2 linked regions of the Coturnix japonica genome follow. The protein of the gene in region 1 purifies or fractionates together with the protein of each later gene. This does not show direct contact. Links are inferred from orthologs where the notes say so. Each region holds a gene or a part of one and is shown on either strand. Other genes may lie near its edges.

What was found.
Region 2: the proteins of MAP3K2 (region 1) and TRAF7 purify together in Homo sapiens (affinity purification with mass spectrometry; 3 studies listed by BioGRID and IntAct, with this or other methods). This does not show direct contact. The link is inferred for Coturnix japonica from reciprocal best matches to the Homo sapiens genes MAP3K2 and TRAF7.

What each region holds. Positions count from the first base shown.
Region 1 is NC_029522.1:23,204,372-23,219,878, forward strand, and holds the start of MAP3K2 (mitogen-activated protein kinase kinase kinase 2), read right to left. Parts: upstream 9,096-15,507; 5' UTR 8,527-9,095; exon of another isoform or gene 8,449-8,526; 5' UTR 8,289-8,448; intron 6,409-8,288; exon of another isoform or gene 6,057-6,408; intron 1-6,056. Other genes in the region: PECR (peroxisomal trans-2-enoyl-CoA reductase), read right to left, coding at 10,384-10,472, 10,589-10,700, 11,166-11,276, 13,263-13,359, 14,830-14,911. UniProt on the Homo sapiens protein: Component of a protein kinase signal transduction cascade. Regulates the JNK and ERK5 pathways by phosphorylating and activating MAP2K5 and MAP2K7. Plays a role in caveolae kiss-and-run dynamics.
Region 2 is NC_029529.1:6,358,495-6,374,172, reverse strand, and holds the start of TRAF7 (E3 ubiquitin-protein ligase TRAF7), read right to left. Parts: upstream 8,877-15,678; 5' UTR 8,750-8,876; intron 6,841-8,749; exon of another isoform or gene 6,713-6,840; intron 1-6,712. Other genes in the region: RAB26 (ras-related protein Rab-26), read right to left, coding at 12,253-12,355, 12,475-12,551, 12,767-12,823, 13,233-13,298, 14,027-14,079, 14,161-14,227, 14,812-14,853. UniProt on the Homo sapiens protein: E3 ubiquitin and SUMO-protein ligase that plays a role in different biological processes such as innate immunity, inflammation or apoptosis. Potentiates MAP3K3-mediated activation of JUN/AP1 and DDIT3 transcriptional regulators.

The sequences.
Region 1 (15,507 bases):
TGTTTCTAATTTTGCACCAGGACATACTAGCTAGAACTGACTGCTCCTGCTCCTATTCATTGCCTGGTTCTACTTCTATCTGAGAGCACATTTGCTCATAGAACATGATAAAAAGGCAGTTAGACATGGTTTTTTGTAGCCCTAGAGATCTGCATCACTGCCACCAATTCACTCCAGTGTCTCTGATATCTGTTATCACCGCAGGGATGGAAGGTCTCACAGCATCACAGTGTTACAGAGAGTAATTCCTCACCAGTAACAAAGACGTGCATTACCCAAATGGATTAAGGCTGCTAACATCACACAAAAGTTTATGTTGATACTGAGTAGAGCAAGATAACACTGTAATGACTGCACCTACACTAACTAAACTACTTCTGGGATGTTGGTGATGTTCTCATGGTCTACTACGTGAAATGAACTGGACACCCCCACAAGAGACTTCCCAAAGAAAACAGGTGAAATTTTAACCCTTACAATCCCACCAGGCCAGGTAGAATGCTGGCATCCTAACGACTTTTACAGCTGGATTTAAACACTTCTGTTTCGTCTTGAAAAGTCTCAGGGCGTTCCGGACAGCTGCTGCTCCCATTGGGAGCCACCTGCTGCTTCTAAGGAGAGGCACCAAGGTTACTTTCAGCTCCATTTGTAACTGCAAAGTCAAAATATTTACAAACAGGGGCTAAAGATGTTACAACTAAAAACATTACCAGCCACAATTGTAACTGTATCTAAACTGTATCCAAACTGTATCCAAGATTGGACAGCAGGCAAAACCTTACTTTTTCTCCTCCTACTATCACAGAGAATTCACAGCACACACCTTAAAAGAACACGGTGCTTCTCACTTCCTTATGACAGCACTCAAGGTCACTGGTTAAGCCAAAGTTCACAGTGATGCCATGCACTGTGTAAGTCTGCTTACTGTCTGTGTTCACCTGTTGCACTGTTTGTAACCTGGATGCCCCACATGAGCCAATACGTTAAAATACTACTGAGCTATCGAGTGCAGAAGTCTTTCCTCACTTAGTGCCTTGGTAACAGCACTTCCCATGAACCAGAAAAGAACTTAATTCATTGCAGTTTTTCACAACATTTGAAGCCAAATGAAACAAACAAAAAAACCTTGCTTTGCACATCCAAGAATCCAAAGCAAAGACATGAAGACGATGCAGCTACATGACATTTCCTGCCTATTTCTTCCACAGCACACAGCTCAGCAATAGAAACCCGACCTTTAAAGTAACATCTCAGATCCTACGTGTTTATATCCTTTCCACGACAGAGAAAATGAAAAAATCCTCATAAGGACAGTCAGTGGGGTAACTTACAGACTCTAAAGTCAGGAGATGATATCAGGGTTCACTGTGCAAAAGCACATATCACTATTTATGGCTACAGTTCCACTAAGTTTGCAGTTAAGTTGCAAAGGAGCAGCCTGCTGCCCTCTGTAACTGCTGCTTTCCAGCCGAGCCCCGGTTCCAAGCAGCAGATCCAGGGCAAAGAAGTGATCCAGGTGATTTCATTAACATGCCGTAATTGCCAAACCTCACATAGCCACCACTGTATCACCAACACAAAGGCAGGAGCAGGGACTCCCGCTGAAGCTGCCCAACGAGCAGCCCTGGGTTTTAAAAGATCTTTTGAAAGACGGCACGTGTGATACAGAGATCCTGGGCTGTTATGAATACTTTAGTCTGACCTGTACCAAATGGACTAAAACAAATAGACATATGTATAATTTTAGTAGGGTAGACTAAAGTCTACCTGAACTCAGAAAGAAAATTTAATATTAGGAATTACTATGAATGAAATAAGTACAAAACAGAACACTGCCTATCTTGACTACAACTATCAGCTCTGGGGACCTCAGCTCCAGAAAAGGATGTATTGAAATAGAGCAGCTTCAGATAAGATTAGAAAGTATGATCAAAGACATAAGAATGGGTTCTTCAGTAGGGTACAAATAGGTAAGTTAAGACTCTTCGATTTCCAGGAGAAGGAAGAAATTATTGAGGTCTACAAAATCATGGCAGGACCAGAGATGGATCGTCATATTAGAGATGGATTGTCATATTAGAGATGGATTGTCATACTAGAGATGGATTGCTCACTCCCCTCCACAACGAATGTGGTAGCAAAGGAAAACAGCACAAGCCAAATTCTGAAGAAAGAGAAGGTAAATTTGAACATAAGTAGTAGCGCACCCATAGAACTTCTTACAAAGAACAGCTGGTTGCCTGCATACAAAAAAGGGGTTGGTTGCATGAAACCAACAACGAACTACCCAAATCTAGGACAGCTCTTCAATGAAAACAGCTAGAGATGAAGGAATACTCAAGTTATCTCTTATACATAAGCTTTCCTTGTTCTTACCCTTCGCTAAGCATCCGCTCATGCTCCTTATTGGAGGAAGAATGCTGGAGTGTTTTTTCTGACTTCATTATGGATTAAGGCTTTCCCTAAAAGCTGTCAGTCAAAGCACCAGTAATGTGTAAATTCTCCTTTGAAAGTCTCACTTGGTATTCATGATGGTGCTAATCCCACAGGCACTGAGACTTAACAAATATTCTCTAAAGAGAATGTTTTATCATTGGGCTGTGATAGTGCATGACAAAGAGGCAGAAGGCCAGTTCAGGTACGGTAACACTGACATAAACTACCTTACCACCACAACTTACTTGTAAGAAGTACGATGTATCAAATTGTTATATGCTATGATATATTTTTGCCAACAGAAGCCACATGGAACCCCAGAACTTGTTTTCAGTCAGGTTCCCCATCACACAGCAGACCTGCACTCCAAACAAGAGACTGTAAGTGCTGGGAAGTAGATGTGGAAGAACAGGAAAGGCCCATTCTCCTTAATAACACAGAGAGCCCTGGTGCTGTACAACCTAGAAATGCTTTGTATAAGAAAACTAACCTGAAGATGAAATTCACAGCAGTATAAAGTGTTACCCTTCCGGAAGGTAACTCAAATACCCATTTATGAAGGAAGAGAGACCTAATTTTACAGACACTAATACAAGCTCCCACTGTAACAAATGGAGGAGCCAACATCCTGACATTATTGAAAACCAAACCAGCAAAAAACTAAATCAAAAAACCCATCAAAAACCACATAAAACCCAAATTAGAGCAACAAAACCAAAATGTGTGCACACCCTGAAATGACATTTTAATTGGGGCTGCCACGTTACTTCTGATGTAACTTTTAGAGTAAGTTATTTATTCTGCTGCAGTAAGTCTTGGACTGGGGAACTCTGCAGAAAGATGCAGACAAATCAGAGTCCAATGGGAGCTGCCGACAATGTGAGCAAATAGGGTCTGTGAAGAAAAGGCCTATTGGTGGAGTTTAGGGAAGTCTGAAATAAGAGACAGAGGAACAGTCCTCATATCAACAAATGGCACAAAGAGTATAGAAATCATTATCCTGTGTGAGTAATTGAGGGAGGACTGGAACTAACTGGCTTAACTAGAACCAAGGCAAAAGTTAAATATTAAGAAAAGCCTCCTAACTGTACCAGCAGCTACGTAGCACCTATAACTAGAGCAGTAAAGAGGTGTGGTATTCCCCTCTTTGGAGGTTTTTGAGACCAGATCAGACTAATGTTTGTTAGGTATAATTTCAGTATATTTATTTCTGCTTCAGAGCAGGGAGTGACCTCACCAAATCCGTTCTTACACATCTGCCATTCCTTCTTTTATCACAATGAAATCTGTTTATGTCTGTTATCATTCCTGAGCTTCAGAATTACAGCCTTTGTAACTTCAACTGCTGAAACATTTGAATTCTATTACTGAAAGCACCACTGCTGTCAAACTGTTACTGTACTTAGCAGAAAATACTTCAGGAACATGTAAGCAGCCTATTTTACTACTGCAAATAATGCACCGAAGCGGACACATACGTGACTGAATGGGCAAAAAGCGAGTGAGGAAAGACCAGGAAGTGAGGAAAATGAGGAAACAGAGGCTGAAAACAAAGCAACAGCAAAGGAAAAACATCAGTCTGAAGAAAATGGTTTTGCTCATGTATGAAAAACAAGGTGACATCTACCAGCGCTGTTTTAAAGCATGCTGCAGGCACCACTGCTTCAGCCTGGCTTAAGCAAGGCCAACTTCAAGCAACCTCACAAAGCTGGGCTCCAAGCTGGGCTGTATGTGCATCTGTGGGGAAAGTGCCTCCAGAGCAGAGAGAAGTGCAACATCCCAACAGGATCCTCCATTCATTGGTACCAAAACTTCAGCAGCTCCTCAGAAAATACAGTTAAAGTGAATGCATTTAAAACAACTCAGGAAAAAAACCAATGCAAAAGTGTTCTAAGGCTTACGAGCACCCACAAGCTGCTTGTGTCTGCATTAATACAGTACAAAAATCAAGATCTCACGCTGACATGCATTGGTGAGAAGCACAACCTGCACACTGTATTCAGACTGCTGCTCTCAGCTGTATCTTGTAAAATAGCACTGGGAACGTAAGTGCAATGAGTGCGTGTGACCTATTTCTTAACACTACCAAATATTAGAATGCTACAACAGCAAAGCAGGATTTATGGCTTTGAAAAATAAAATTACCTTCACTCCTACAGAGAAACTGGCGTGGTTAATAAAACGTCACTGAGATATTTAGATGTGATATTATGTCAGCTATATGGCTGAATTCCCAAAGCTTAAACTGAATTCCTAAACACTGGGGACAGCAAATGTAACGTTTGGTAATGAAGGTAACTAACGTAAATAAGCACCATAACTTTTAACCTTTACGTTGTGTTAAATGAAACTCCACTCATCCCAGGCACCTGCCTATTTACACGTGTAGGAGAGCTCCCGTGGTTCCCGAATACCACAGCTCTCTTAGAGAAAGTTTCCTCTGACAGTTTACAAGCCTCAGCGTGCCAAGGCAAGCAATTTGGGAACATCTGTTTTCTTCCCCATAGTCTTCCATTAGCAGCAGGTAAACCACTGACAGCTCATGGAGACGGACGGCTCATGGACCGGCTGCTCAACAAGACAGATTTTGCACGCATTCCTCTCCAGAAATGAGTCAATTTGACCGATATTACTTTGCTATTCTCCTTTATCAAAATGCAATGAAACCCTGAAGAAAACCCAAACCCAAATCAATGACAAACGGCCTCATTATCTGAATCGATAACCACATTCAATACGTTTTGGTGGCAATCGTGACAGAACAAAATGTGCACAGAAAAAACAGAAATATAGTTAAGCTCTCATCTTTGAATAGAATGGGAGGATAGTGGGCATCAAATAAACACCGTAAGCATGCAAAAATCTTTCATATAGTATTTCTGTTATTTCCAAATGACAATAAAATGTAAGGACTAAAAACACAAGAAAATCGCTCCGAGGTGTTGCAGTGTCACATAAACCCCAACTCATCAGCGCCCATCCCCATCAAACGATCCCTGGAGGAATTCCATAGGACAGAACACTTGCTCTGGTTTTCTGCTAATAAGCACCACGCAATGGAGGAGGCAGAGACATTGTGTGAGCTCGGCGTGCAGACGTTCATTCTGCACACGCAGGCTGTGCCGTAGGCACACAACACGTTTCTCAAGGCCTCCTGCACCCCGCAACGTGCTGCATTGTTCAAGGGAGAAAAATATCTGAGAACTGAGAAGCGCTTCCCGAATGGTCCGAAGGCCGCTTCTCTCAGGGCAGCCTCTGTCGCCTTCCACCATCCTCACAGAGAGGACACAATGCAGCTCAGCAGCACCCTGCTTGTTTAACGCTTCCATCTTCAATAATTCCACAACCGTGAACTAAAACCGTATTTACGAACCGAGGAAACCAGAGAGAAAAAACCCTCGTGGGTGCCACAGTACACCGCAAAGGCAAGATGGGGGAAAAAAATAATTACCGTGCATTCACTTTTTTTTTTCCACCGTACTCGACGTTAATACCGTGCGGATTCTGACCCACATCTCCAGCTCTGCTACGGCAGCCCCGCACCTCAGACCCCCCCAGGACCCCGCCGTTCCCCACCGCCCCCTCCCGCCTCCCCGCAGCCCCCCGCCCGCGGGTCCGACCTGTGTGACGGCGATGGCCGGGAAGCAGCGAGGATCCCCCCGCGCTGCCCCACGGCGGCGGGCGCAGGCCCGGCCGAGCAGGCGGAGCGGAGGGAGCGGCCAGGTTTCCGGAGAGGAGCCCACCCCCCCCCGGGAGGCGGGGGGGAAGGGGCCCCGGGCCCGCACGGTGGGGAAGGGGAAGCAAGGAGCGGAGCGGCGGGACAGCGAGGGGGAACGGGGCCCGAGGGCGCCGACGGGGCCGCGGTCGGGCTGAGTCCGGGGGTCCCGTCAAACGTGAGGCGCCGCCGACCGCAGCCGCTGCCAAGCGAGAGCTCCGCCTCACGTTCCGCCGAAACTCGTGACGTCGCCGCCGGGAGGAGGAGGAGGAGGACGGGACCAACGTGAGGCGGCACCGCGTCACGGCACGAGGGCGGCCGCATCATTCTGCGCTTGCGTATGGGGCGGAGGGGCAAAGGCGGAAGGGTCTGCCCTCACCGGAGGATAAAAATAAATGGCAGAAGTTGCAATAAAGCATATTAGTTATTGATGCATGCAGTGCAAGCACTACGCAAGCAATGGATGTTGGGAGGAGGAAATGACAGAATCACAGAATGACCCGGGTCGGAAGGGACCTCAAGGATCATGTAGTTCCAACCCCCTGCCTGGCAGGGCCACCAAACATACGCCTTTACTAGATCAGGTTGCCCAGGGCCCCGTCCAACCTGGTCTTGAACACCTCCAAGGACGGGGCATCCACAACCTCCCTGGGCAGCCTGTTCCAGGGCCTCACCACTCTCCTAGTGAAGAACTTCCCCCTAACATCCAACCTAAATCTTCCCTCTTTTAACTTAAAACCATTTCCCCGTGTCCTGCTATTGTCAGCCCTTTCGAAGAGTGACAGGGTAAGCACATCTCAGGATAGCCCGCTCAAGTGATTGACTGCAATCTGGCAGCACGGCTCTATCTTGATTCCAGGATCAATACCTCATTGCACTAAGAGGTTCTCACCTTCTAGACATGCTGCTTCAGACAAGTGCCTGTATTAGTTAACGCTAAAGCCATCGCTTTCAAACACTTTAAATAGGCATAAACCAGCTCCTTCTAGTGGCTGCACTGTCGTCCTTCACTCCCCCTCCTTCCAGGTCAGTCTCCCTGCCATTCCTTCCTATAGCTGGCACTACATTACCACGTTGATACCATCTTTTGTACTACAACCAGAAAATAATACAGTTACAGACCTATGAAATCGCTTATTTAATCAGAAGGTGTAAGAACTGGCAAAGGAACATGCATAGACATAAGGCTTATGAAAATTCCCCTTTGAGGAGCTGTTTTCATAAGTGTCAAGATCTACGATGCATATTCAGATAAAACACCAGCCCATGCAGCAAGGTAGCAGTTGATAAGCATCCATTTATCAGTCAAATGATTATATGATAGCGGGTAGGCAGAGTAGGAGAAGGTTTAGCCAGAGGTAAATGTTAAAGCAACTTAGGAGATTGTTACTGGGCTGTAACATTCTACTCTCTGCTCATCTGCACTGGGCAGTAAATGTTCAGATTTAAGTGTTTGATCCATCAGTCTCCTCGATTCCTCCTGAGGTTCCTCAGCCATTTTCCCACATTCCCCTCCGTTGTGAAATGAATAAAAACAGAACAATCTCTGAACTTCTGTCTGAGACACCCAAATCTTGTCCAGGTCAGCAATGTTTTTGTTATCACACCTTTTTTTCCTCTAAAGAAAACAAAGTAAAAAGAAAAAGCCACACAACTCTGTATGCCCTTTGATCAAGAGCTGTTGTCACAGAAGCATAGGAAGAGCTCTGCTTCAGCTGATATTATCTGCACTATGCAGAAATCTGAAACATTTGTGCTGCCAGCTGAAAAAACAGCAGGTTTCTACAAAGTGCTGCGAAACTTAAAAAAATAATTTGAAAATAGTTTTAATCTGCATACAAAGTCACCAAAGAGCCAAGGACCAATACAATTCTCCATTCGGAGAACTAATTATTTCATCTTCTTACTGATGCAAGAAGTGGTGAGCTGGGGGTGAGCACTGCAAAACCATTACAGCAAGGCAGCCACTTCTGTAATATCTAATATAATGGAATGTTTTGATATTGTTCACAGCGAACCTCAACACATAGAGAGCTTTAAAAAATAGTAAAACGTATTGCAGAAAGCACTCGAGCACTCTGATGTTTTCCCTTCACCTTTCAAGGGTGTATGTTCTGTATTCATATGCTGTACTCACCCCGAGTGTTCTGAGTACGTCTCCTATTGCAGCCAGCTGCAGTGCATTATGGCTCCACACACACCGGCTGTTTCAGCTTCTTGTCAGGAAAGAAAAGCACACGCAGGAATAAGCGTCTTCTAAAGAACTGGCTTAGATCTGAAGACATCTATTGCTTTGCCTGAAGGTTAAAGAAGATGAGGTCAAATAAAAGCTCGTTTTACTCAGCATGGCCCAAAATGTTTGTTACAGTTCTTACCTGTGAAGGAGTTCACTCCCAGCAAGCTGAACATGTCTCCCACACCAGAGAATGCTGCCCTTCCTAAGGTTCCATTTCACAGATGAAAATGATGCATTTCATCATCAATATTTATAAGCTTCCCCTCTTCGTGAATATTCACGTTCCAAAGTTAAAGAAGAGATTTGCAAGCTAAAAATACTTGATTTCTACCTTTATACTCAAATCCTGTAGAGAACATTTATTAGATGTAATAGAAGTAATTGTTTTATCAAATCACTTCCATTTCATGTTACACCTACATTTCATGTGTCATAGAAACTCATAGTCAAATGTGAAATTCAGCTTCTCTAATATCTTAAATGTGGTTAAACAGGGTTAAGACTTAAGAACACAGAAAAACATCTCAACAAACTCATTTGACTTAAATTCAAAGGGCTACCATGGTTGCTATCCAAAGGTACATTTCTTCCAGAAATTCTGTGCGCCCTGAATTAACATTTACAATCACCAGAATAAAAAATAAATCACTCACAAGGTTTGAAAAAAGCTTATTTCATTATTTCATTCTGGTTTTGAGCTCCAGCCCCATCTCAACAACCCCCTCTTCCCCATCTCAACTTTCCCTTCCCCCTCCTCCCCCAAAATCAGTCCTGAAGTCTTCATAAACAAACCTGTTTTTTTCATGTATTTTCCAGCACTTTAATTAAAGGCAGAAAGTCGAGCACCTTTGGAGGGATCACACAGCTGGTGGACACTCCCATATTCAATCCAAAATTCAGTACTGACGAGGTAACTTCTGTAGCAGCAACTCGATTCCACAAATTTCAGTTGTTACAACAGTCATTTATTTTAATACTTTGATCAAAGTTATCAGACATGAGAACATTTGTCTTAAAGTAATTACAACAACCAGCCTCTTCAAGTAATATATTCTAAGACTTATTTGCTTGTGATTTGTTGGCTTTTTTTTTTAATGGAAACTCTCCATTGAGAACAAGCATCACCCCTGTTTCAGGAATGCTGATGAAAAAAGCTGGTATCTCAACAGCACATCAGTAGAGAAGACAGTGTGGATAGAAAGCATTTACACTGATAAACGTAAGATTCATAAGTTTTTCCTTTCACCAGTATAGCAAATTGCACAAAGCACTGCAATATACACTGCACCTATGCTTCCAGGTTTTGCTGTGAGATGATCAAATCCATACAGTTTTCCAAGAGTGTATTGTACAGCTTATTATTTGATTATTCTATCAACGAATTTAAGTGGCAGCTGCTCATCTCCTGAAGTCATTTTATCGGCAAACAACTGGAAACATCTGATACGCTTCATTAGTTTGAAGCTGTAAAAACAGTATTCCGCTATTTAACCGGCCTCTGCTTTATTTTATTTCCTCCCATCTCAGATAAGCACTTTAATCAATCCTTAAAATCATTGTGAGCATTCAGATTGTGGCTGAACTGAAACTATATACTTCTAACAGCCACTGCAAGGGTTACTGATGCAGGTACCAATAACAAAGACTTAAACTTCCTCCCCCAAATCACTCTGTGTAAAATGATTCTATAAAATTCTCTTCCTGTCCCTTCAGTTCAAAGTAGGTGTCTTTTAACCATTCCTGACTGAGATCCTTCCTTACTTAGTAGTGTCAATGAAGAATCGATTTTACACCTTCCAAGGGCCAGCAAGTGTTTGTTAGTGAAGATGTTCTATGGACCTACTCAAGTTTTAAACAGGAGAATGTGAGACAATGAAAACCTATGTAGTTATGTGAGGGGGAAAAAGAAATCATGTTACTGGTAATTGTAATACCAAGTTACAAAGTGAGATTATCAGCAACTGTGAAACCAGGAATAAAATGACATTTCGTTCTACTACAGCTTTGGCTTGAATTCACCAGAAATAAGCTTTTTAAGCATTTCAGAATTTCTTCCTTCTGGTGGTGAGGGCCATCTGTTGTGATCTGAGGAAACAAAACAGTGGGTTTAGCTGATAAAGAAAGTGGGCGTTTTGGTTTTGCATGCTCCCATTGCCCAACTTCAATCACGGTAGGGGCATTATTTTTAGCCCATTTCTTACCTGGTATTTCTAAGCTACTGCCATATAAACTTTGGCCACCATCTATAACCATGGTTATCCCAGTTATGTAAGAAGCAGCTGGAGATAGCAGGAAACACACTGCAGGAGAAATCTAACAAAAATGACAATTTCAGTCCTTCTTAAACCTCTGGCCATCAGTTATGTCCAAGATGTTCCTAAAAATGGACACAGGCAAGGCACAGCTCTGATTTTTACTCAACTATCAAAGTCCCAACAATCTTAAAACCACACTTCCAGCTACCAACACCAACAAGGTAAAAGCTGAGCAACGGTGAGCTTTCAAGTACTTTTAAGATACACCTTTTCACATTAATCCTCCCCGATTAAAAAAACCAAGTCAACTTTCCCAGAAACACAGGCCAACCACGAGACATTTTAGCTACAACAGCTAAATAAAAGTCCCCCAGTTGACACTACTGCACATTTCTACAAGCTTTTTCTTTTCTTTATACTACACCAGTTGAAAATCAGGTCCTTAATAGTCTCCAAATAATGAAGCGGTTTTAAAACAGAGACACAGAAGTAGGAACATCACAAATGTTCAGAAATACGTTACCTCCTCAGGAACTGCTGATCTCTTAGCAGGAACCTTCGGTATGCTCTTCAACCACATAATTACACCCTGTTCTCCATAGTTGGCAACAGCAGTTTCTGAAAATACTATTCCCTACATTAAAACAACAACAACAACAAAAAAAGTTCGCTTTCATATGTTAAGTTGTGATTAAATTTTAAGCTTACTGGGATTTTCTATGGCACTAACAATCCCAACACGACTTGAATGCAAGTATTTAACTTGGATGAAATAGTATAATTTACAAAAGAAGGCAACTGAACAGATAGTTACATCCCTGTTCAAACACACTAATTCACATTGTTCTAATCCTTCACCGCCACACCAACAACTCTTAAGAAACTCAACAACTGCTTTGAAATAACCAACATTTCAAATTAAATTGCAACAGAAAGCTACAGGAACCCCAAGAACAAGTTCTTATTGTTTTTGTATATAGTCTGCAATAATACTAGATTGACTTCATTGTGAATTACACAGGCGTTTTGCAATCAGATTTCAAACTCTTCCTACTGAGCTGTTATAGAAATCCTTGTTCTGATGATTTTAAAATCCAGCTTAAACTCCATAGAGAGGATGAATGCAATAGTAAGAGAAAAAGGGTTCTACAGATGAATTCTGATACAAAATTTCGGACTCAAGTTTCAATAAGACAAAAGCATTTGAATTTGTTCATTAAGAACCTTTCAGTATTTCTCTAAGATGTGAACAACTGTGTTTCGGGAGCTAAGGAAGAAGCTCGCTTGTAAAACTATTTTATTTCCTTCTCTACGCACACTTGCCCTGCATGTTACTATGCCCATGTGAGACAGCAAGTTCTGCATGGTTAATACAAAGTATGTTCACAAAGGTGTCAAGTATCACCCTAACTAGAAAATAGATTTTTGTCACTTGCATAATTAAAATAGCAAAAAAGCCAAACCACTTAAGTGTCTGCCTGCCAAAAATCTCATCTGACAGATGCTATAAAGTATAATGAGTATGAATCATTAGATAATTAGCATGCATTAAAAATATGCACACATACTAATGCTGTCCTCATTACTTATTTCCCTAAGTCTTGATAAATCAGAAAGCAAACAGGAAAAACAAGATAGTAGACCTTAATATTTAAGAAGTCACCAGAGTAGCCTCACAGAGGCTATTAAAAAGAGCCACTTCCTGGGTCTCCCATCAAGCATTTTGTGTTATGCCAGGAGAAAGCTAATGAGGTATTTTAGTGCAGGACATCTGTATACCCTGCTTCACCTCCTACACTGACAGGAAAGGGATCTTCCTTAAAAGATACTAATAAATCTGAGATTTACTAAACTGCAAGATGAGAAATTCCAAATGTGGCAGTAGCTAGTTAAATGTTTTCCCTTTAGTTTTCAAGACAGCAAATGTGAAAAAGAAACAGTCATTAGGAGTGAAGATAACTTTAATCACATTAGACATCATCTCAGACTTCAAAGCTAGGGCCTGTTTATAGCCCTGTAACTGCTGCATCACATGCAACAAAAATACAACTGGTGTTTTCACAAAGTTACTTATAACTGCAACATCTCAACTACTTCCTCAAAAACATGGCAGGCGTATTTTGCTGACCCATGTAGTGGCATCCTATCTGTGCATACTTCATAAGAAAAAAAAAATGAATTCCAGATGTAAAAATGTGTTTTCTAATTTCTTTAAGTGAAGATACATCTCCAACACTGTCTTTTCACAACTAAAACTAACCTAACTTGACAAGGAGAAGATAGAAACATGAAAGAACACATTCAGAGATTCTCAACATAACTGCGAATGCAGGCAGAAGCCACAAGCACAGATGAACCATATACAAAAAAAATTTGTAAACCATTTTCCCCACGTTTATCTCATTATCTAAACAACACAAAACACACAAAGCCCCTTGGAAAAAAGGGCATGTATGGAAAGGAAAGTGTGTGGGTGAAATGTATGAGGAAACTAAAAATTCATAAATAAAAATCCATAAACAGTTGGAAGCTCTACGTTTTGAAATCCCTTTCAGTTATGGAGCATCAACCATAAACACATATGATAGCAAGTTGAATCACATCACTTGCCGCTACTTACAGGAGCAACGCTGTTGATTCGCACCCCGCTGTGGGCCCATTCTAAAGCTAAAGTCTTGGTCAGGTTATCCACTGCTGCTCTTGCAGCTCCTGAGTGCCTATTAAGAAAAGAAAGCAAAAGAAGCACCTTTTCCCTCAGCTAAATGCTCAGTATTAATATCCCTGCAGCCTTACTAGGAAGTCAGAGTAGTGTTCCATGGCTGGACCAACCACTCAAGAGGCACAGCAATTTTCTAGTTCTTAAACAGTGAAGTTGGGGTCAAATTTAACAGACCTATGCTACAATTTCCTTAAACGAGTGTCAATTATGTAAGAATTTAGTTTGAAAGTAGTCTTACCTATCCATCCATACCTATATACAAGTTACCTGGTGAACTTTTCTCCAAGTTATTTAGAATTAATTTTTTACTCTTATATTCTTTGTTCAACTCTCCCATATTCTATTCATAGTGACAATTCAAACAGATATATCCAGAGCAAAGAAACTCAAATGACTGTAGCTTCAGCACCACCATGTGGATCTTCACATTTTGTACTGCTAAGAATAAGCCAGTAAGAAACTGAGATTTGGAAAGATTTAATCCTGAATGAGGCATAGGGAAGTTAATATAACACTTGTTCAAATTCTATTCAAGAAAATACAAGTGAATACACACAGAGTCAAATTAGAAAAAGTAGTTTCAAATAAGAAACTCAAACCTCAGAATTCTTCCCCTCTGGAAAATGCCAATGCATAGCATTCTCACTACATCAAATTTTCATTTAAACCAGTGTTTTCTGAAGAATATTTCTCTCACACAAGTTAAAGCTCTTGTTGGAAAAGCTTCAACCAGAAGGCTTACATCCATTTTGAAGGTAAAAAACAACGTGAACAAATACAATCAACATCTGCCTATGAAGACCCTCTATTTTCATGCAGACAGCTGTGATCATTTTTTGTCAGTATAGATGAACTACAAACATGACATTTTCTGTACCATTCCTCCACTCAATCATTATTATTGTTATATTATTATTATTATATATATTATTATATATATTATTTTTATATTATTATTATTATAGCAGAGGAAAAAAAAACAATTTCCTGCATTGGAGACCTTTCCATGCAAACATAGTAAAATGCTATGTATGTTCCTACTACAACACCTATCCCGCACCCATTTACTGTAATTATGTCATCAAGATCTATGCACTGACAGCAGAAGTAAAAAACCACCAGATGCCAAGCTCTTGCAAAGCCATCAAAACAAGTAAAGGTTCCATGTCAAGGCAACCAGTTCCACTAGCACCTTGTTCCCAATGAAAGCTTTGCTAACAAGTTCTGCTTCAGTTTCTTACAAAGTAGCAGAAAGGATCAGAGATATCCTTCACTCTTGCAGGCTCCATTGAATTAATAATGACTCCCACTCATTCAGACAAGTATTGCTTTCTTGACATTAACTACTGTATTTCTATTACTCAGCTGCTGCACATTATACACCTCTCCTAATCACAGTATTTAGGAGTAATGAATAGTTCTATGGGGAAAATACAGGAAAATGTAAAAAAAATTATATGTATATTACGACATTCCAGGAAACCCATTTCTCACGGCAGCAGTAATGTTGACAATGGCTCCTCCATGTTCCTGCATCCAGGCATTGTACACTGTGTGAAGGAGGAAGATAACCTATAAATACCTGAAGAAGTGCACACAAACAAACCTGCTAACTGGACACTAAATCTGGAGTCCAACTATAATTACGCTACAGACTTCCTGTGCACATTTAGATACACAATCTGCTCTTTGTACCACAGCCTCATCACCGGATCAGTCAGATAGCAGGTACAGTCTAGATAAGGCTCGGTGTTTGCCAAGAACGCTTCTTGTGGAAATCAAGACCTTGTACCTTCCATGCAAATTACTCACATTTCCACTTTCCTAATAGTCTCTGAGAATCACACACTTCATATTCATGATGAGAGCAAAGACTTCTGTTTTACTCAGAAAATATTGGCCACCAAAGTTAAGTGTTCTTCCCACAGACCTGTGAGTATCCAAACCAACTGATGCCTCCAAACCTCGCCTTTAAACTAGAGATTATTCCTCCCCTAAGCACGTACATGTCTAACCATACATTTGTTTATATGAATGATGTACAGCTTAATGTAAAGATCGATATGACATTTATGAAAACAAATATCCACTGTCAGATAAGTACGTGAAAAAAAGAAAACAGAGAAACTACATTTTCTTGCCTTCA
Region 2 (15,678 bases), on another chromosome or scaffold:
ATAAGTTGGGATTTTCAGAAGTAAGTGGCAAGGCCAAAGTCAGGCCCCTTCAAACCACTCCTGGGAGAAGCATCCAGCATGTTCCAAAAATCCAGCATATTTTAAATGATTCCTTAATCTCCCACATACTGGAACACTCATCACCATTAGCAGCTTTTACAAATGTGTAACCATTCCAATTGCAGATGAGACTCCTCAGCAGCCAAAGAAAGGCAGCATCCCACTGTCCCACCATCACTCGGTTCCAAATGAGACCCATAGAGACACATGTGCCAGCTGTGTCTGACAGTCCCAGCTCAGAGCACACCACAACCCAAACAGGCAGAAAGGTCTGAGCCAAAGCCTTGGACAAAGCCTGAACCTACAGAGTGCCAAAGGAGCTGCGCATGCACAGAGGGCAAAAGGATGTAAAGCTGCACCAGCAGAGCCCTTATCCCTATAAGAAAGAAACCTTACTTCAGTTAACACTTCTGTGATTCTGGATCTCATTCAATTTCTGCTCAGAAACAGCCCACAGATCATCACCCAGAGAGAGAAATCCCCTCCCTCAAATGGCAGTAGAGGGGCTCACTGCTCTTCTTCAGTTGTTTACCGGGTTCAAGTTTGCAAAGTCAAAGTATTGCACAATAATAACCTGTGGAAGCACATGGAGATTGCTTTCTTCTGCTGAAACCTGATGCTGGCTTGAGGGTACTAAAAGAACTTTACAGAGGGGGTACTGAAGCTGCTCCCCCAGGAAGGAGCTGCAGCTCCACACTGCCATCCCAAGGAGATGCTGCTGCCCGGGACAGAAGTTCCCATTGTGGCCTTGGCACAGCAGGGAGCTCTCCTCCTTGGCTTCCCCTTCATCCTTGTGGCTGGAAGTCACTGCTGGCACTCACAGCCTGTCCCAGCCCACCCAGTGCTCCAGGAATAAGCTGCTCAAGAAAAATCCTGATTAAGGATCCCTTTTTATCCAAGGTACAGTTAAATCTTGGTGCTCTCCCTGCCAGCTACAGAGTCCAAGGGCTAAGCAGGCAGACCAGACAGACAACAGTAGTGAGAAGTGACTGGCTAGAACCAGTTGACTAAAACACAACCCAAATCTGTTTTTCACTTGTGCTTGGCTCTCACCCTACAAGCACCATGGGCTGCAGCCAGGCAGGGCAGTGGTCCTGGTCCCATTCCTTGCAGGACCATCTGCTTGCAGTTGGGTTGGGGCTGCTCCTCCCCATGCAGCTGCTCCTGCTGCAGGCTCATGGGGAGGTAAGATAACTTGGCTCCACCTAGCAAAGGATCTTCTCTCATCCAAGAGTGACACATCCTCAATCTCCAAGCACTTCATAACAGTGTGTGATCACCTCTTTTGTAGTATTGGGAAACTGAGGCTCAAGGTGTGACACGACCACACAGAGCAGCTGGGACCCAGGACTCATGCAGAGCTCCTTCAGTCACAGCCCCAAGAGCCCCAGCTTTGCATGTGTCCTACGCTCACATTTTAAATGCTGTGAACATGATGCTGAGACATCCCCAGCCCCTGACCAACTGCTCTGCTGCCTGGCACAGCACACTGTGTCCTGCATGGACAGCATCCATAGGGATCACTGCCCCTGGAGCTGAACTCTTGGGAAAAGCTACAGGCTAAAAAAAAGAAGAAAAACAAACCAAAACCCAACCCAAAGTAACAAACAAAAACCCCCAAACCAAGCCCAGGACTATCTTGAAAACACAGATCTGAATAATGTTTTCCAAACGTTACGAAGCTCCGTCCTGGCTGCCTGTAAATGCCAGATCCCTTAGGAAATGCTAAGCAGAGTTGCTGATGTCCAAGAACAGCAGGAACGAAGCAGGACCGTGCTGCTGCATCGTGCAGATTGAGGAGCTGCCTCCCAGCTGCAGTGCGGCTCCAACAGTTCTAAACTGCCTGCAACAGGGACAACCTGAGGCACCTCTCCAGTAAAATGCACATTCCCCTGCTCCAAAGCCCACTCAGAGGAATGCAAGATCCAATAGATGGTGGATAAATCCAAAGCAAGGAAGGAAGCACGGGTTGGAACACAGGGATTTTCCACTCCTTGTTCACACCCCAAACCCTGCAGCATGGCTGAGCAAACTACCTGTGAGCAGCAGGAGGTAACCTGCCCTGCATCTCGTCTGAATAGAAACCAGGAGAATGCAAGCAATGGAAAAAACATCAAGTGGAATATGTGCCAACGTTCATAACACCAACTGCCACAAAAACAGCCAATCTCAGCCCAAATCCCTGCAACCATCAAATACAGGAGCGATTACAACAGAGCAGATGTCTGCAGAGCAGCCTGCCGATGAACTCTGTCACAAGGCAGTGAAAAAGGCCTTTGCCAGTTGATATCAAAGAACTTAAAAGGAAGTGGAGAAGAGATGGTGTTCTTGATGTTAATACCAGCTTCCCCTCCAGATTTCCAAACCTCGGCTTAGCACCTGGAACTGTCAGATCTGAGCAGAACCACATCCAGAGCATCTCCAGCAGCATCACAGAGCAGCAGGTTGGCAGTGCTCACACGGGACACAGCATCCTGATGTTCCATCCCAGGACTATGTAGGGTCCCACTCGTGGCTGACAACAAAACAGAAGCTACAGCAAGAGGGCAAGCTCCATTCCCTCCTGTGCATGAAGAACTGCTGCAAGCCCTTGTGTGTCCAGCCAGCACAGCCCTGCAAGGACCCAGCCTGTAACCCAGGCTCTCTGTGCATGGAGCACTGTTTATTTTTTGACAGTAAAAAGAAGGGGGGGGAAATCTCCCTTGGAAAAAGGACACTGTGGGAACCCATTATTCACTGAATCACAGGGCTGATAGCAACCAGATGCAAAGTAGGGGAAGGGCCAGCTTTCAGCATTTGCACAACATGGGGATCAACGCAGGCATTGGAGACACAAGGAGAAGAAAAGCCCTAAAGTTCCTGGTTTTGTAACCCAGGCAAGGAAAAACCCAACCAACAGTAGCTGCAGACAGCTGGGAAAAGCAGCCCTCCTCCCCATTATAGAGCCCAGAAAGGCAGCAGCAGTTCTCTGCCAGTTGTTTCTTGCTGCTGCCCCAGCACTGCACCTGAATGAGCGAGGGCCCTGCTGAGCGGCTGCTGCCCATAGGAGGAGGCTGGCACCTCCTGTTGCAGGGCATCGCACAGGGCTCACCCAGTTGTTCCCAGTGCTCAGCAGAAGATCCTTACAGCCATCCTTAAGAACAAAGCCAAGGCTCTGAGAGGACACACGGCACAAGGAAGGATGGCAGAGGGCACATCCTCCACAAATACCACGTAATCTGCCCAGCCCTGGCCCTGCAGCCAGCTCCTGGTGTGGGCAGGGCACTGTGGGCAATCTGGACTTTGTGCCCACAAAGCTCAGCCATGTGCCCTGTGTCTACTTTGCTCCTCCTTCTTCCTCCCTCCATTCACTAACACTGTCTCTGAAGCTATTCACCCACAGCAGGGCTGGCAAAACCACCCACAGGGGTGCTCACTGGTAGGGGGGCCATGGTGTGCTGCTGAAGGCAGGCGTGGGGCTACCCCACAAACTGGGAATGGGATGTGCCAGTGAGAAGTTCCTTATTTCACAGCCCATGTACTCGTGGCAAAAGACAAGTTTCTGTTCCTCTACCACGCCACAGCCAGAACAGGAAGGGTTACACATCCTTCGGAGGATTGGTGCATCACTGGGGAAATACTATTACAAAAGTTGAAGCACGCTAAGCTGCTCCAGGAGCCCTGCTCAGCAGGACATGGAGCACCACCCCACAGAGAACAAGGGACTCAGATCTCTCCTTGCGGGTCCAATTTGGGCAGGCTCTGTTCACCTTGTTCTGCATTAACAAGGTGTTCTCGTTGTTTTCCAGCTGTGAACTGATTCTCAGTGGTCCACTGTAGACTGAAAGGGGAGGGCTGTGCACAAAGCACGCACAAGGCATGGCTCATGAGCTCACAATCCAGCTTTTCTGCATCCCACAGCCTTCTTGCTCAGTGTCTCTAGAGGAAATAGCATTCCTTCATAAGTGCTTCTGAAATTCAGCAACAGCATTTAAAGAACACTGTGATGATGACAACGATTATCTAGTCTGACCTGTAGGACACGAGCCTGGAGAACACAGGTGAGCTACACATCACTCAGACACATCTCAAAGGGCAGTCACAGCATGGGAAGGAGAGGGTGCAGCTCCTCGGGTGCTCCTCAGGTGATCCCTTGGCTCAGGAAAGAAAATCATTTTGTATTAAATGTTCTTCTGTTCTGTAAGATTAATGATTCTTTGGGATAAATAGGCTGTTTGCAATACTTCATGCCAAAACCTAAAGCAATAACTTTCAGATACAGGATCCCCAAGAAGCACTGCTAAGTAAACTTCACTCAACATGGTCATCTATGGAATAAGTAGTGAAATCTCCAAGTGCGCAAATTATACAAACCCTCCTGTGCTGATTACGATTTACAAAGTCAGGAAGCCTATGAATAAAGCAAATTTGGGCCTGTTGTTCCCCCAACCTTCTGTCACAGTGTGCCCAGTGAACCTAGCAGGAGGCTGATGGAACACAGGCAATAGGAAGCATTCCTTCACCCTGCTCACAGGGAACACCAGCGCTTGCTGCTGCTGCACACTGTAGAGAAATGCAGTCATGACAGGTTCAGAAAGGACTGGACTCAGTAATGTGCAACAGGTCTATAAATGGATATGGAAGGATCCATCGAGGACATGCCTCCTCACATTCCTAATCCATCTACTCTGAATGCTCAGAAATCGTGAGGCAAATGGATGGTGGAAAGGGGTCAGTCTCACGTGCTCCCTGCTGACAGCCTTCATTTGCAGAGCAGCTGCACAGAGCTGTAGCTGAGCACGGAGCTGTGGGCACCTCCTGCACCTCTGGGGTGACCTGGACACAGCCAGCCATGTGTGCTGAGATGTGCGTCAGTGCCAGAAGATCAAACGTGAAATGAAGCTCAGTCCTACCAACAGAGCACGGCACTTCCAGCTGGTGGTTCCTTGCTTCTGCAGAACAGAAAGGCTTTTCATCATGCACAAGTTTTTTTTTCCTCTGCTTTTAAAAGCCATACAAAGTTTTCTGAGCTGAAGTGAGACCAGAGCTGTACAGCGCTGTCATCAAGAAAAATAAATGTGATGTTTTTAATTGCTGCTGCTTTTACCGGTGCTTCATTTTAGAGCAGAGCTGAGAGGGCACATCCAGCAGCGTGACAGAAGCGCAGCTGTTTGAATGCTGCCATTCCTTTCTGCAAATACAGCTCAGAAAAGGAAATGCTTCTGTAGGAAATGTCCTTGTCTTCCATAAGGTTAATGAACCCTTGGGGCAGACTGGCTATTTGTGATACCTGACGCTAAAACCTAAAGCAATAACTTTCAAATGTGGCTATAACAGGATCAAAAGCGACTGCTCTGGTGGAACAACGCATCTCATTTTCCCCAAAACACTAAAACTGAGTCAGAGCAGAGGCCAATGTTCAATGCACTTTCTGCATCACAAAAGCTATACTTGAGGCTTTACTTCCATTTTAGGAAGCATCCACCTTCCATACCATTTTCCTTGCACATGAGGCTGAAGATGAAGTTTGATAGTGCCAGGCCCTGGTTGGTGCTGGTTGAGTGGCTGCACATCGCTGCTGGCTTGGCTGGAATGGGCACAAGCAGAGCTCTCACACCTGGCCATTATACAGCACAGTGCTGCACACTTCTGACCTTTGCCTCACTCTCACTTAAAGAACAAGAATCCAATAGACAGAAGAGCTCCATTTCCTTCACAATTCTGGGAGCCATTAGAAATGGCAAAGGGCTCCCACAAGAAATGCACAATAAAACTTGTAAATAGCACTGGTCAGGCTCAGAGCTCTCTACAAACCCAGCACAGCCCAGCAAAGGGAATAAGGAATTGCCCCAACACACACTATTTACATACGAGGAACTCTATGGCATACCAGGTAAGCAGCAAAGGCCATGGAGCACTTCTGTAAACGCCCTGTCCTGGCAGCACAGCACATGAGAAAGGAAAGCCTATGCATGGAAAGCTTCAGTGAGCAACACGGGAGCAGCACAAGGTTGAACAGAAAACCTGCTCCAGCAGCTCCTGACTGCCTCGCTCACCTCTCAGCTCTGCCAGCACCGTGCAGGTGGCTGAGGCCAGGTTAATCTGTTTGTACTTGGGAAAGGCTGCAATGGAGAAAACCAGAAAGTAACCTGGCCAGGTTAAAGTCACAAGAAACCCGAGCCTGTCATCATTACTCAAAGTGCACCAAGTATCACACTTCCTTCCCCTGCTCTCCCCAAACATCTTCCAAAGCTTTAAAACTCCACGACATGCTCCTGTTTGGCTTCTGGGTGCAATCAGAGCACTTTAAAGATCCAAAGTCACAATGCTCTGGGACACAAGGGAAAGGCAGTGAGATGCTGCCTCACCTCACCAGCACCACTTCTTTAAATGACACAGAGGGCTTTTGTACTTCTGAAACCACCGGGAACAACCTCGGAAATCACTCACTGCGTTGCTGCACATATATTATGTGTCCTTGCAAAGGAGGATCACAAATCTAGCTCAACACTGCTCCAACTCACTGCAGGCAACAGGCACCTGCTTCTGAACCCACACAGTTCCTCCACGTTGCTGGCAGCAAGCACCATGCCTGAGCTGTGGGATCCAACCAACTGTGCTGCCCTGCTGCTCCCACAACTGTGCTGTGCCCACACCACCCCGCAGGACTCACCCCTGGCAGCCCCAGCACAGCGGGGCCCAGCGACACACCACCATGATCCAGTTCCTGAGCTGCAGGCAGGCTTCCCTCGGTCAGAATGCCTCTTCCGCTATCTGCGTGGTGTATGTGTGTATTGCTCCCTAGTGATGTAAACAGAAAGGCATGCAGAGCAGTGGGCGACATGTAAATTTGGCTGGAAAATCCCACAGCTCAGCCAATCCTCGTGCTGCCCTGAGCTGCTCACAGACCAGGGAGGTTAAGAGAAAACAACCTGAGCAAGCACTGCTTTATGCCTCCAAGCTGAGAAATCCAACCGCAGAAACAGTATCATCCACCATTCACACTGAAGGGAGTTTGAGCGCCTCACCCTCTTTAGGTAGTTCCCAAACTGTTCATAAAACTGAATATTGAGCAGCTGAACAAAGAGTGACACAGGCTGTGATTGCAGAGATGCTCCAGGGAAAACCAGTTAACTAAGTTAACTCGTTAGCACAGAAAGGAAGAGCATTCTCTTGTTGCCCAGTGGGGCCTTCAGTGAGGAGCAGCACATAGCCCTGAGGATGGGGGTCCACTGTACAACAGCCTCCTCCAGGCAGCTGTTATGTCCCCAGTCAGTCCCAGGGCAGGGGGACATAGCCAGCATGGATTTCACTGCCCATGGTGAAAGAGTGAACAGGAGGGATGACACTAGGCATAAAATGGGGGAAGGAAGAGGTCTGACAGCCTGAGCGTGTCCATATGACTCAAGTATTGGGTTAGTGAAACCAGGACTTGCTCTCAAGCGCCTTCCTCCTACCACAGCTGGACTTGGAAGTGCCATTCGGGGCTACAACATGCTTCAGGATCAGGTGATGCTCAGCCCAAGAGGTCACTGCTGAACACCACCCAACTTCAGCCGCAACTGCTAAACGTATGGAACCGAGAACCAGCCCACCCACAGCTCTCTGTGCTGCCATGGCCAGATTTACCCTGTGTTTTCACAGCTCCATCTGGGACAAAAGCACTTATAGGCACCCCAGGACTCAGGGAGCCTGCAGGGCACTAAGCAGCACCCAGATCCTACAGCTTCCTGCCTGACCCTTGGGAAACCCCCGAACTCTTTGATTTCCTCTCACCAGACATGCAACAAAGATGAGGACGGTACTTTTCTCTTTGAATTCGTGGTCAGTCCACATCAGCACAGCACAGCAGCTTTCGGGGGTGACTCAAGCACCAGTGCTTGCAAGAGCATAAAGCAGCAATTTACAGTAGCAGGATGCACACAGAACAGCCTGCAGGAGAGAATGAGCTGGGAGGTTACGCAGCCAGAGCACTGTAGTGTTTAGGCCTGGGTTAGAGCTGACACCTCTCTGGCTGTAAACCCCATACAGTGCAGATCCCCTGATCTCTTCTCTTCTCCTCTCCTCTTCTCCTCTCCGTTCCTCTCTTCTCTTCTCCTCTCTTCTCTTCTCTTCTCTTCTCACACAGCTCCTGCAGCCACCATATAAGCAGCCAACCCTGCCATTGCCTCCCTGCCATTGCCTCCCTCCCTCTCTCAGGGCTCTCACAGCCATCCCTCATACACCGGGACCAACCGAATCACTGCGGCTGTCAGTGGGGACCAGCGGGAGAAACACTCACAACCAACAAGCACCAGCTGCTCCACAAGAGCTGGCTGTTAGTGCAGGCTGCGATACCTCACCAGGGGGAAACAAACCAGGGGGGAAACAAACCGGGGGGAAACTAATAGACCAAACCTTGTGGTAGGAGCGAAGTATGGCCCCCATTGGCAGCTGTGAGGGCCCAGAGCTGTGAGCACAGCGCCCAGCCCGGCCCTGCTGCCCCCACACCCCGCTCATAACACGGTTCTCCTCGCGTCCCTCGGGCCCAGCACAGCCTGAGTTGTTACATATACAACAATACAGCACGGCCACGTACAGTGTAAGGAACCACTCGGGAGCCCTGACAGAAGCCCACCCCATATATATCCCACACTGAGCAGCCCGCATTACCCGGCCCGGCTCTTCCCATCGCTCCCTCAGCTCCGCCCCGTGCTCCCCCAGCCGGTACCTGGCAGCGGCGGCGGCCGAAGCGCCGGTTCCCGATCCCGGCACATCGCGGCCCCAGGCCTCCCTCACTCCCTCCCTCTAGCTCGTCTCAGCTGCCGCCCGGGCCAGAAGAGCGGCGCGCTGCGCTCCTTGGGATTTGTAGTCCTACCAGTCCGCTCCTCACCGCGATGCTGCTACGCTAGGACTACAATTCCCAGCAGGCCTTTGGGCAGAGCGCTGATTGGCTCTCCTGCAGTCGCTCTGCGCTATAATCACTCTTCCTACTGGCTTCTCTCGTCACCAATCGGGAGACAGCACACCACGCCTCGGGCCACGCTGCGCCGCGCCGCGCCATTGGAGGGAGGAAAAGCGTCGACCAATAAGCGAGGGGAGAGGCGGGACGGTGATCACCTCAGCTGCTTGGGATTGGCTGGATCCACGGGCAGCCTGACCAATAGCGGCGGTGGGGTGTGTATAAATTCCACAGCGAGCGCACGTTTCGCCCTTTCCAGGCGGGAGGTGAGTGGTGTTGGTTCTTCGCTGGGGGTGGGCGCTGTGAGGTGGGACGAGCCGGGGATGATTTTAGCTTTACTTTTCTGACACCTCGTCTGAGTGGCCGCGGCCATTGCTGACACACTACGGCTGAGGCTCGAGGCCCCGCGGTGCTGCTGGGCCGGGCGGTGCGGCCTGATCTCACTGTGAGGCCTTGTTTCCTTAGGGCCCGACGGGAGCCGGATCGCAGCGGCGTGAGGAGCAACGGGAGCCCCATAAGGAGCAGTGGGAGCCCCGTAAGGAGCAGTGGGAGCCCCGTAAGGAGCAGTGGGAGCCCCGTAAGGAGCAGTGGGAGCCCCATAAGGAGCAATGGGAGCCCCATAGGGAACAACGGGACCCCATAGGGAACAACGGGACCCCATAGGGAACAATGGGACCCCATAGGGATCAATGGGAGCCCCATAGGGATCAATGGGAGCCCCATAAGGAGCAGTGGGAGCCCTGTACCGGGCTGACTGTATTGCTTATAGATCGAATAAAGCTTTTATAAGACTTAAACTTCTGTTTTTGTGCATTCTATGCGTCACATGAGAAACCACAGACAGGTTTGGACCTTCGGCTCTGGGTTATGATCGACAATAGCCAACATAGCCAGAGATTAGTACAAAAATTTATTAAATTAAAGCTGTAAACGAAGCAGCACAAATGAGAAGTGCAAATAATGCTGTGTTCTCTGGCCTGTGTGAGCACTGAGCGCTGCTCCATCGCTGGGTGGCAGTCGAGACCCATGTGAGCAATGGCTGGAGCTGAGGGAAGGCTTCAGCAACGTTGTGTGCAGGCAATGGGGACAAGCAGAACATAGATTGTGTGTGATGGGATAGAGCTGGGCCTCAGTGCAGTGTGGGTGTGTTAGGAGAGGCCACAAATGCAGTTGTGATGCTTGTGCTGCATTGCTTAGGTTCCCCATAGGTATATTCAGAGAGTAGCATTTGCATCTTCTCTATTTATATTACTTAGTTTGCTTTTGGTCACCCACTAAAGAACCAGAGCCAGTAACTGGCAGCTTTTTCATCAAGATACAAGGCATTCCTGCCCAAAGAGGGGAGTGTCTGCAGGGGATTAGCAGCATGGGGACAGGGGGTGCTGTTACACTATGGTTATTGTGAGACAATCCAATACCAAAGGCAGGCTTGGGAACAGAGCTGGGTGTGGGAGCTGCCTGTCTCCTGTGCCTCCATGGCAAGGCTGGGGGCTGTAATTAGTCCCACTCTTTAACCTTAGCTAGCAAGCATGTGCTACAGCCCGGAGTGAGAACGGAGGTAGCTGTTAAGCAGCATCATGTGAAAGGTACTGATTGGGAAGCAGCATAGGAGCACACCAGAGCAGCACAAAACAGTTCAGTAGGTTTCCACTGACTTTGTAGTGCCTGATCATCGTGCAGGGCAGCTACAGTGACGCTTGGAGGCTGGAGAGGGTGATTGTTAAGGAGTGAGTGGCAGGGCTGATGAGAAACAGGTCCTGCCTACTGGCTGCCAGCAGGGAGCAGGAGCTGCCCAGGGATGCGCAATGGCAGCAGGCTGAGTGCTGCAAACATCCCCCAGGAATGGGTTTTTTAAACAAAAATAAGACAACTTAAAGACATTTCTCCCTAAAAAGCTATTTATGAAAAGGTTTATTTTAGGCTCTGTGTTATTACTGTGCTGGACCCGTTTTTTCAGCAGTTGTTCTGCACGTTGCTTATTTTACTGCAGCTCCGAGGGGTCTCCTCTGTCACTGCCTGCCTGGCTCCTGTGCTGAGGGTCTTTGTGCCCTTTGGGAATGCTGCTGCAGCTCAAGCTGGAACAACGAGGGGCAGCTGCACCCCAACTCACTGCTGAGAAAGCTGGTGTTTGGGGAGTGAACTTCAGTGGTCCATTTAGAGCAGTGCAGGGATGTTGAATGCAGTGGGCACCTGGTGTCAGTGCGTGTGGAATTGCTGAATAAGAAAACTGCCAAAGGCCAAACACAGCATCCAGATTTGTACTTTGAAGTGCAACTTGGAAAAAAAAGCATAAGCCAAATGCTTGGCACCAGACAAAAGGGGCGAGGAGTCCATTGAAGAGAGCTGGCAGGAGAGTCTTAGACCTGTACAATCAATGCCTACAGCGCTCTCCTCGTCTTTCTTCTGTTAGAAGAAAGAGCTGTCCCAAGAGAACTTCAGAGATAGCAAAGCATTGCTGTGGTCTAGAAATGTTATCACACTTACATAAAGGTATTTAGAATAAGCTGCAGAACATTAGCTTTCTTCCCATTAAAGTACTAGAAGTGGCTGTAGTAAGAGAACCAAAGCCTTTACCAAATAGATAAACAGTCGGGAGATCTCTGTACAACAGATGTGTTTGCAGGAGCTCACTCAAACAAACAGACATCTAAGCTCTTGTCTTCTGCAGGGAGGAGAAGTCTTCATCGAGGAGGTATATTACAACACGGGGAGGACTGACAGACAGAAGTAAGCAGCTACAAAAACGGTTGCCTTGAAAACAAAGCCTTCCTGCGTGCCCCAGGATCTGAACAGCTGAATTCCAAGGGTGTGGGAGAAGGGAACTCAGGCTTTCTCCTGCCCAGATGTTTGGTGGGGAGCAGGCACTCCCCCACATCATCACTCTTAACACTAACACACCCAAAGATGCTCTGGGCTAAGCACTGTCACTGCTGAACCAGTGCAGGAACCCATCGCTCCGGAAGGAGCCGCAGCTGCACCGGGAAGTGGCTGTGAGCAAGGCAGGAGTGGAGCAGCTGGGAGAGGTGCTGCTTCTCTGTGGGGAATGGGGCACTGTGGGGCTGTGGGTGCTGCAGGGCTCGGGGAGCAGCTGTGGTGCAGCACGGCCAGCCTGTCTGCCAGCCTGAGGAGCTTCTGCTGCTTTCACCCCCCACATCTCAGCTCACCTTTTACGCAGATACAGACACAAGACAGACATGCACACACTGTCCAAGAGGAGAGAGCGTGGCGCACAAACACGTGGCATGAGTCTCTGTACAAATGCACCGAGCACATCAGAACCTGCAGCAGCCCGAGCCTCTCACTTCCTTCTTCACATAATCATGGAGCTTGAATTTGGGTTCGTTGGGCAGCTTCATGGACCTGTGTTTCAGTTCTCTGCAGGAAGGGGAAAGCACATTACTTCTCTGCCAACGCAGCCTGCTACCAGCTGAGTGACATCAGCCCCTTCACAGTGACCACCCTCCCCACAGCCGGGACCCCCTTATCCCCCTTACTTTGCAATAGCTGTGAATGCTAACTCCACATTGAGGCCGCTTTTGGCGCTGGTCTCCATGAAGGGCACCCCGTACTCCTGCAGGACAAGACAGCATTTGTACAGAGCTTCAGAAGAAATGTGAAGGCATAGAACCAAGGAGGGCAGCGGAGGGTTAAAGGATGAGCAGATGGTGGAGAAGAGAGTGGTATAAAGGATAAATCCCGCTCTGCAGTTGTCCCTGTGGCTGCTGTGCTGTCTGTCCAGTCTAAGCATAAGAAATACCCCCACGTAGCAAAAAGAACCTCCCATACCTTAGCCAATTTTTCTCCATCTTCCCTTTTCACCACTCTGTCCTGGGCTGAATCCACCTGCCAATAGCAAAAGAACAAAGGGAGGATCAGCATTAGATAAGCTCCATGCCCCAGGAAAGGTCTCATTCTGTCCCATCCCATCAACATAGGCAGTAAAGGGGATCTGGGGCTCAGATCCGCGGGGTGAGCACAGGACACTGCTTCCATCTCCAGCACCTCAATTCAATGAAGCATTCCTGGGAGACTCTGCAGCCCAGCAGCACACAGAGCAGGAGCCAGATCCTGTGCACCAGGAGGGAGATGGGCAGGAGCACAGCTTTGGTGATGAGAGCATCCCTCCCTGGGACAGGTGGCCACTTTCTGTGCCTCTGCTGGCCCAAAACCTGCAGCTACATGGCTGCACTGCACCCACCCCTGCCCACATCCATAGCATCCTGACAGGACCAGCTCTGTGGGACCAACTCACCTTGTTTCCCAGTAACATAAGGACCACGTCCTGCTGTGCGTATTCATGAATCTCTGTCAGCCATGCCTGGAGGGAGACAACCACAGATGGGCTGCAGTGAGGTGGGCTCCAGGAATAGGAGGAGTCAGCTGGGGCTGCCCAGCCCTGGGCATTGGGTGCCATGTGTGGGGAACCTGTGGGGCTGCAGGGAATGAAGGACAGTGGGATGTGGTCCTCTCCTCTGCCCAGGTTTGCTGCCAAGGCAATGGGGCAACATGGGGATATATTGCAGCAGAGTGGGGACAAGGGAGCACCTCACTGCTGGCATCCGGCTGCCCCTGTTCACCAGGAGCAAGCTCTCCAGCTGGTGCTATAATTACATATGGCATAAATCTGCCACTGAACTGAATCCATTGGCCCTTCTTGTTGCCAGGAAAGGGAAAATGTTCTCTGTGTGTCCTCCACATCAGCAGCCTCTCAGCAGCTGCCAGCCGGGCACGTGGCACCAACTGCAGCCTTTTGGGAATGACCATAGCTTGCACTGCTGGCACACACCACCCACAGTGCCACCTCTGCTCCAGGGCAGCACCAGCCACAGCTCCTTTCAGCTTTCTTTTTCCCCAGGCTCCCCATTCATCTCTAGCACAGAGCATCATGAAGGCTGCCAAATCTCCATGCTACCTGCATTCAGTGACCCATGGGTTTGCTCTGAGCACCAGCTGTGGGTTCAGGGCTTAGGGAGCAACAACAGCAACCCAGAAACCCACAGAGCTGCCTGAAGCCATCAGGAGCAGTCCGGGAGGTGCCGCACATACCTGGATGTTGTCAAAGGATGCCTTGTTGGTGACATCATACAGCAGGAGCAGGGCTGTGGAGAGAGTGGTGGGTGTTAGTGCTGGCACCACATTGTGCTCCCCGAGCCCCCCAGCCCTGCTGGGGTTGTGCTCACCGTGGGCATCACGATAATATGCGTGTGTGACACTGCGGAAGCGCTCCTGGCCGGCTGTGTCCCAGATCTACAAGGCAGAGGAGAGGGGTGAGAGCATCACGCTACCACTCACAGGATGGAAACAGCACACGACCATCGCACCCTGCAACCCCACAAAGTTTTTTCAGCATTTTGCTTCTAACAACAACCCAGGGGCTGATCTGTTTGCACACGAGCAGTTTGCAGCTGCAGAGGAGCTTTCTGAGGATGGTAAGAGGTGATAAGTGCAATAAATATGCAATCAGCACCTCCCTGTTCATCAGCACATCTGGCTGCAAGGATGTGATGTGTGACAAAGAGCTCCATTGAAAATCTACCAGTGGAAGGATGCGCAAGGACCACGTATTGAATTGATCCAGTTTTAGCACAGTAAGTAGTGTTTCCAGAGCACTGAGCTGCTATCAGGGCAAGATGGGCACTACTGGCACAGCTGGGCTGCACATGTGTACATGTGCACATCTGCATGCCAACACAGCTGGAAAAGTGGGGACACGCACAATGGCAGCTTCCAAACATGAGAGGAGATTGGACTCTTGGGGCTGTGCCCAGCCCTGTGGCTCCAAGGGGTTATACAACACCCTGAACACTGTAAGCACAGCTCCAGGGACTCACCTGCAGCTTCACCTTCACTCCATCCACCGTCAGCACCTTGTTCTGCAAGACAAGAGCAAAAAGAAGCAGTGCTGAGGCTGGGAGCTGTTGCCTTATACCAACTCTGTCAATGTGTTGCTGATTTTCTCTCCCCATCTTTTAAACTTGCACAAAGCAGCCACGGTGCCTGTTGGAGCAATTTGCAATTTGCACAGCAAGAAGATCATTTCCTGTGTCTGCTACAAGTTACATCTATTTGGATACTTAAATCTTTGTGTCTACAATGCTGATTTAATATGGTGTGCAGCTCGGGTTGGACCACCTCTGGCAATAAATTAATAAGTGTCAGCATCCCATCTTAGCAGCCTCCAAAAGGCACAGCTAACAACTCCATATTCAGTTAGCAACTTAGACAGATCTCCTTTTCCTGCTGTTTTTATTTGTTGCTCTCCCAGCAAGCACTGGGCTGGGTCCCCACATCTGTCTGTGTTGAGGTGATGCCCACTGTGCCACAGCCAGAGCCAGGCAGTGTTGCTGGGTGCCCTCTTCCTGCATAAACAACTGCAAATAACGATCCAGCAGCTCCCACAACACCACCACAATGCTCAGCAAATTAATTGGCCCTCACAGCAATTGCGTTGTGGACCGACTCCAAGGTGAGCCATGAGTTGTCATCATGTGATGTGTTGCAGCAGCAGCGCCTGACCAGGCAGGCACAGGGCACACAGATATCCCTGGCATCACCAACCACAGTTTTCCTATTTGATGCCAATGCACTTCCAGACAGCTCCAGTTCTGCAGCAGCAGAGCACTGCCAGCTGATTTTCAGAGCCCCACTGAAGCCAGCAGAGCTGTAGGATGGGCACAGTGAGGCACTCAGCATCCCCA